2 linked regions of the Astyanax mexicanus genome follow. The main gene of each other region encodes a partner of the protein of the gene in region 2 in a complex. Links are inferred from orthologs where the notes say so. Each region holds a gene or a part of one and is shown on either strand. Other genes may lie near its edges.

Evidence for each region. Proteins that work in one complex are often made in the same cells at the same time.
Region 1: the proteins of cul3b (region 2) and kctd5a are in contact, whole or in part, in a cryo-EM structure (PDB 8U83), measured with the Homo sapiens proteins. The link is inferred for Astyanax mexicanus from reciprocal best matches to the Homo sapiens genes CUL3 and KCTD5. Residues at the interface, in NP_003581.1 of Homo sapiens: Thr24, Met25, Asp26, Glu27, Lys28, Tyr29, Val30, Asn31, Ser32, Ile33, Trp34, Asp35, Leu36, Leu37, Asn39, Ala40, Glu43, Asn48, Ser50, Leu52, Ser53, Glu55, Glu56, Leu57, Arg59, Asn60, Ala61, Tyr62, Thr63, Met64; in NP_061865.1 of Homo sapiens: Trp45, Phe55, Leu56, Thr58, Thr61, Arg64, Asp65, Lys67, Ser68, Pro96, Thr97, Tyr98, Phe99, Gly100, Pro101, Leu103, Asn104, Tyr105, Leu106, Arg107, His108, Gly109, Lys110, Leu111, Val112, Ile113, Asn114, Lys115, Leu117, Val122.

Annotation. Positions count from the first base shown.
Region 1 is NC_064410.1:59,428,725-59,432,479, forward strand, and holds the start of kctd5a (BTB/POZ domain-containing protein KCTD5a), read right to left. Parts: upstream 2,445-3,755; 5' UTR 2,387-2,444; coding exon 2,162-2,386; intron 1-2,161. UniProt on the Homo sapiens protein: Its interaction with CUL3 suggests that it may act as a substrate adapter in some E3 ligase complex. Does not affect the function of Kv channel Kv2.1/KCNB1, Kv1.2/KCNA2, Kv4.2/KCND2 and Kv3.4/KCNC4.
Region 2 is NC_064411.1:43,401,436-43,405,190, forward strand, and holds the start of cul3b (cullin-3b), read left to right. Parts: upstream 1-729; 5' UTR 730-942; coding exon 943-1,005; intron 1,006-3,755. UniProt on the Homo sapiens protein: Core component of multiple cullin-RING-based BCR (BTB-CUL3-RBX1) E3 ubiquitin-protein ligase complexes which mediate the ubiquitination and subsequent proteasomal degradation of target proteins.

The DNA.
Region 1 (3,755 bases), on a different chromosome or scaffold from region 2:
TTTGGTGAGTACAATAAAAAAAGAAAATATTTTCTACAGTTTTATTAGATGTGTTATTATAATAACAGATGATATCATTTAGTGTAAAATAATACTAAAATAACAAAAATTATTCAACTCTCAACAGTTTTTTGAATATGAAACTCTACCATCACCCTTTTAAGTGAATGCTAAACAGGTCTGACAACTAAAAACAAAGATAATCATCAACAACATAGGTTTCTGAGGGGATAAAGACAGTTGGCAGTTAGAAAGAATGTATAACAGCCGACAAACAACAATGCAATGACCCAACTGCAGTGAGGAATAACAACACATTAACACATGCCTCAGGAGACACACACTGACAAATAAGGTTAAGATAGGGTGAACTAATAGAAGTAGCAGCAGTATTGCTTAGAGCTTTAATTATATACTGAAAATAGAGGTGACTTCTTTATAATAGTTTTAATATATCTATTGTTTTCTTTGACCTGTATTGTGTGTAAAGCTATGTAAAGACCATTTATCTTAATAAATGTGAAAATAATTTTTCAGGAGAAACTTTTGATTTTATTGTTAGTACACAGTTGACTCAAAGCTAAAATGTAAGCTAAACTGCTCCAATTGTTTCTAAAGTTATATCTGGGTGTGTGGTTTCTCTGCGAGTAAAAAAAATGTGTATATCAGCATGGATAAATATATGCATGTGTAATATCGACATTGTGCCAGAATTCCCACGTAGGTGCATCCGCAAAAATCTGCCTAAATCAATTAATTTTAGTAGTAGTTGTGTTTGTTTCCTGAAAAAAACATGAAAAACTTTAAATCTACAATGTAGTAAATAATACAAATAAAGGAGAAATAATAATGAGAATGTGTCCAAACATTAATATCTGTTTAAAAATGAATACAGTGTACCAAAACAACTGTTACCCTTTTAACCCAGTTATAGTATTTTTATTACAGCTAATAGCACCCAAAATTAAAGCATGTGCTGAGCTAATGTTTAGCATTAGCTAAAAACATTAGTTAAGTTACATTATAATGTTAACTAATATAATAACCACAATAGCTAACTGTTAGTTATAATTTATATGTATTATTATAGTAGTGTAGTGGTACTATTGCTGCTACTCCTATTACTACTAGCTATTACTGTCATCATTGCCTATTCTAAGCTAATGTTTAACACTAGCTAAAAATATAGCTAAGTAGTTAAATTAGATTAAATTTCAACAGTATACTAATGTAATAACGATAATAGCTAACTTATAATTTCATTGTTTCTTTTTAAATACAGTATATTATTAATGCTGCTACTGTTGTTATTGCCTATGCTATGCTAATATATATTTTTTTTATTTTAGTAAATTAGCTTACATTACAACATTTTCTAATATAATAACCATAATATATAACTTTACAATTATAATTTAAATTTATATTATTATTAGTAATCTGTAGTACTGCTGCTACTCCTACTACCAACGTTACTAGCTGTTACTTTTATTATTACCTATGCTAAGCTAATGTTTAGCACTGGCTAAAAATATAGGTTAGCTAAGTAGTTAAATTAGCTAAAATTTATTTCAACATTATACTCTTATAATACCGATAATAGCTAACTCTTATAATTTAATAGTATGTTTTTTATATTGTAATATATAGTATTTATAGTACTATAACTAAGTTAACGTTACTGCTGCTACTGTTATTTTGCCTATGCTAAGCTAACATTTAGCTTTAGCATTAGCAGCTAGCAGGCTAACTGCCGGTTTGTCATGTAAACTAGCTTAACTAAGTATATAGCGTTAGCTACTCCAGCACGAGCAATATCTCACAAACTGGCTGTTTAAATAGCTTATACATATTCTAAAATTGATTACAAACTTGTGTTAAATTAAACAACCTCGCACTGTTAAAAACAAAACTGTAAAAAACCTCCAAGGAGCGGGGATAGCCCGTTTGCCAATCCGTTACTCTACCCTCACTACCGCCGCTAGCCTGAGTAGCACAGCCCGCTGCTGCCGCTACTCTAGTTACCCTTTGTTAGCTCGGTTTTAGCTAAAAAAAACAAATTACAAACTCAGCAAACCACCTAAATTCCACCTTAAGACTGTCCCACCCCGCTACAGAAGCTAGTAAAGCCGGGGGAGTGCAGCTGGCTCTGCCCGCTTGCCTTGTCGGAGTCGAGGTCCGGGTCCGCCTGGCACAGGCGGTACAGGAAGGACTTGGGGTCCCGGCACAGCGTCTGCCGCGTGGTGAGAAAGTAGGTCCCGCCGACGTTCAGCCGAACCCACTTGGAGGATCCGCCGCTCCCCGAGGACTGCAGTCTGTCCGCCGGGGACAGCGCGGCGCACCTCCGGCCGGCCGAGCCGCTCGGGTCAGGGCTCTTCTCCGCCATCCCTCCTTCTCTCTCTCCTTCTCTCCCTCCGTCTGTCTCTCCGCCTCCCAGCGGCAGAGTGCGGAGCGGAGCGGGGCAGGAAGCGCTCACACGCCCGCTCTACAGACCCGCCCACCCCGCTCCACAGACCCGCCCACCCTGCGGAGTGTGTGCGATTCGATTATTTATATTGTCCTATATAATAAATTAATACCGAAGTGATCCAAACTATTAAGGAAAACATAAAGAATCATGTAGTAACTTAAAAGTGTTAAACAAACCAAAATTACTGGTATCTGGGGCGGTCCTGGTGAGTCTTGATGAGTTCAGCACAGCTGTTAACTGAAAACCTGAATTCCAGGTGACTCTACCTCGTGAAGCTGACATCTAAGCATACGGCGCTACTTTTAATAATGTAAAATATGAAGCATATTCTGGTTTGTTTTACACTTTTTGGTTTATTAAATAATTCCATGTTTTTCTTTCGTAGTTTGGACGACTTTAGTATTACTTTAGTATTAGTCTAATGCAGACAATTTTTTAATAATAGAAAAACACCTAATTTAAGATGAGTCCAAACTTTTCTGTTTCTCTACAGGTTTATTAGATGTGTTTTATATAGTAAGATGATATAGTTGAGTGTAAAATAATAGATAACATTAAGAATATTTGAAAGGTGTGAAAATAAATCTAAGTTAGTTAAAATACAATACTTTTTACTCAATAGATACTGTAGTGCACTAGAGGCCGAGATGTTGCAAGATGGTTGTTGTTGTGTATCCCAGCAGATTTGCATGGAATTGCTAGCTTGTTGATATGACATTGCTAGATGGTTGCTATGGTATTTGGGGTCGGGGTGTATGCTTTGTGGTTGCTGTATGCCATGGGTGCTGTAGTGGCAGTTGCTATGATATGCCAGGTGGTCTGCCTGTTCCAAAAAGCTGGTATATTGGCTAAACCTCATCTTCAGGTATGTGTTTGATTTTGTTAAAATAACAGTGAGGGAATAATTAGCACTCAGTCAGTTGTGTTATGTTATGTAAATGTTTTGCTGTTGTTCACATTTCCACTGTTTGTTTTGTTGTTTGTCAAAATGTATTACGAGACAAAGGAAACCTATTTATTTATTTAAGGAGCAAAGTTAAACAACATATAAACCACCCTTAAACAGTAAGGCTGTGTTGATTTTACCTAGGAAGTCAGATGATGAATTTGGAAAAGATGTCACGCCCAAACTCACGATATTCCTGTTAAACATTCATATTAATTTTATGATACTTAAAAAACCATTTAAAAATGAAAAACTCCAAAGTCTTTTGTTAACTGGTTTGACCGTTATTTACCAGTGTTTTGTGTCAAATTCAACCAAAGTATGCCCACTTTTTATATT
Region 2 (3,755 bases):
TTACCGAACTGCAATGCCATATATGGTTGGTCCCATATAGGCCCCATCATTACAGTGCACCTTAGCTTCACAAGTGTACAACTTGGATGGGGCTCATCACTAAAACATAATAGGCCACTTAAAATATATGAGTTTTTTTATTTATTTTACCTAATTGAAAACCTCTGAAATATAATCAAGTGGAAGATGGATGATCATAAGCCAACAAACAAAGCTGAACTGCTGAAAGTTATTAAAAAGCTGTGTGAAAGACTGGTGGAGGAGAACATGCCAAGATGCATGAAAACTGAGGTTATTTCAGAATAAAACAGCAATGTTCATTTTACTCAAGCATATACCTATAAATTGCAAAATCAGAGAAACTGATTAAGAAACTGAAGTGGTCTATTTATTTTTTTTCCAGAGCTGTATGTGGGGCCAATATGAAACCAATTTAAAAAGAAAACTTTTTTTTATTATTTGCTGTTTATTTTACAGACATTTTGAGAAGAAAACTCATAGTAAACTTAATAGTAATGTTTTTTTTTGTTTGTTTGTTTGTTTGTTTTATTGAATGAATGTGTCAGTGCATGAATATATGAAAATATAGGAGACCATCTCATATCTATTCGCATGTGTTGCAGTAGTGAGAGAGGTTCACATACACACAGTGTGTGTGTGTGTGTGTGTGTGTGTGTGTGTGTGTGTGTGTGTGTGTGTGTGTGTGTGTGTGTGTGTGTGTGTGTGTGTGTGTGTGTACCGTCCGCCATCATTGGAGAGCAGCACAGCACAGCAGAGCCGAGCAGTCAGGCGCTTGTCAACAAGTCCCAAACTACTGGGATCTCCAGCTATTAAAGAAGGTCAAGTGGAGGCTGATCATCGGCTCCACGGACTTATCTCCCTTCCCTTTACCAGGACAAGTCTTTCATGTGAGCGAGGAGACCACCGGGGAGGCAGCCAAACATGTCAAATCTCAGCAAAGGCGGCACCAAAAAGGACACCAAGATGAGGATACGAGCCTTTCCTGTGAGTACAGGCCGGCGTCTGGAACGCCGCAGCCGGCGAGGCCTTCACTCGAGCTCCGGGGATGCGGGCTTCAGGCTCAGGCTTGAAGGCCCGAGTGCTCTTAAGCAGGGGTGCATAAATGTTGTCACCCATCCAAGAGTGAGCCGAATTACAGAATTAGAAATGCTGCAGCAGTAGCACCAACACCAACACCAGAGTGTCCATTAACTAGAGACAAGTCACCTCATTATAGCTGCATGTTTCCTGCTGACAGATTTTAGCTACACCAACCTTAACGCTAGGTTATATCATTTAGGTAGAGCTAGCTAACGTATGTAAACGCTAGCTATGTGACCCTTACTTGTTTTATGCCGATTATTTTTTGGAAATGCTCCGAATGTGAACGACATTCATGAGCTTAGCTAAGTTATTCGAGCTGTTCGTCTTCTCTTTTCACGAAGGTCACGAATAAAAACGTCCTAATCGACTTGTGTGTGAGAATAAACCGTGTTCAGACCGTCTTTCAGTCCCTCACTGATTCAGTTAACTAGGTCCCTGAAATGCGATATAAACCTGTGTATGAGGCTAACGTAGTTAGCTAGCTAGCTATTTAGCTAACCTAGCTAAATAGCTAGCTTGGCTCACTTGCGCAGTTCGGAGACTTCTAGCCCCGTTAGCTTAGCTGGCTAACTGACAGATAGCGCTAGATAATGTATTTTCACTGTTACACGAATTCGAATTATGCTCTTACGTGACTTTCGTACGTTTTTAAATCCCACACAACTGGACAACTCGAGCAGAAATGTTGTGTGACGCATTGAACGTAGCTAAATTAGCCAGCCAGTTAGCTTTTAGTTAGTTAACGCTAACGTAAAACATGTTATTAGCCCTTAGCTAGCTTAGTTAGCTATCGGCTCTTACCAGGACTTTAGCTAGTTGGTCAGTATGTCTTAGCTGTAACTAACTAGCCAGCTAGCTATCTTAGTTATGCAGAAGATTAAAACATAAAACATGCTATGACTGTACGAGCTATGTTGTTTTAATTATATAAGCTAGCTATTTCATTTAGTATGTGTTAATTACGTTAAAGTTAGCAAGCTACGCTAGCTAAGGAGTCCGTGTTTCCTGAGTGCCACTTAATAATAAAAAAAAAAAAGGTTCAGAATGTAAAAATCCATCCCATGATTTTGTTCCAACTGCATAGACTCTTGAGCTGCAGCAGAGCCGTCCGGGCAGTTAAAACAAAATCCTGGGGTGGATGTTTACTTTGTGGGGCCTGGATTAGCCACCTGACATGGCTTTTTTGAAAGGGTTCTGTTTTGTTTTCTTCTCTTAATTGACATCAATAACATTAGCAGGACGTGAGCAATACTTTAATATTGCATGATAATCGAGTGTTATGTATTATTAATATTTTTAAAAGGTCTGAAACCTTTTCAAGGTCCTGGACAAACAAAAAAACAATATTGAAAACAATAAACAGCCTTGCAATGCAACCCTATTATAACTTGGGAGCATAATATTGTGTATATAATGTATAGTAAACTATGTGTATTATCTCATTATGTTAGCTAGCAAGGTATGTCTAATAGTATTGCAAAAATCTAAAAACAATGTGTATTTTAGCCATAGAAACCTAGGTTACAGAGCCCAACAGATGGAAAAATACAATTTTGTGACTTCATAAATATTTTGCAACCTCAGTTAAAAGAAGAAACATTTAATTAGGTAAATTTAGGGAACAAATGGCTTAATCAGGAGGATGATGTCCTTGATGTATGCCTGTATTTTACAGTACAGTATTCAAATTCCTTCAGACTAAAGAATAAAGTGTAGAAACCAAACTGCGTGAACAGTATACATTAACACACATTTTCTTCTCCCAACCTGTGAAACGGACAGATTTCACAATACCCCACCTGAAGGAATTCGGCCTACTTTTTCTTGTGAAACTATTACGCTATGTGTGAATTCCTCTGAACCACGCCACTGTGTTTGTACCTGTTCCAATCATTTGGCTTAGATACAGTTTTATCTTGAGCTTTGCTGTTTAAACAGTCTGAAATAATGTGACCTTACAGATGGATAAGGGCAGAAAGATAAATGAAAGTGGTGTGGACTTGGTCGAGTCATGTTTACTTAGATCTTATGGCTCAGTATAGCGTTTAGAGTGACTGCATGGCATTCTGTTACTGCGGACAATGTAAACGCTTGAGATGCTTTGATAAAAAATGGACTAGGTACTACTTTGTACGGGGCACGATTCATCCTAAATACTAAAATTATTTTCAGAATGTGTCAGATATTCAAGTTTTGAAGGAGCTGAAATCATTATAGTACTGTGAAACCGGACAAAAACATATTGATGCAACCAAAACAAAACAATGTGAAGCTCCGAATAAATAACATGTCTGTGTGATGTGTATAAAACACAGTAAAAAAAAGAGCAGCTTTTAAAACCATTAAGTGACACAGTAAATGACAAATAACATAATACACATCACAGTACACTGTATTAATCACAGTGTCTTGACATAGTGATATGTGCAATTTTCATTTTTTTTTTTTTTTTTGCAATTTTACACAGTATCAGATATTTTGATTGCAGCCCATTTCAATCTGGATATTGTGTCTTTTTAAATAATATAATTTACATCAATTACAATTAGCCCTAAAATTGAACTCAGTGATTCTATTGCTTTAGGATCAATAACTCAATCATTAACTCTGCATATAAGGGGTTTATGTGAAAGATATGAAGAACACTCAGC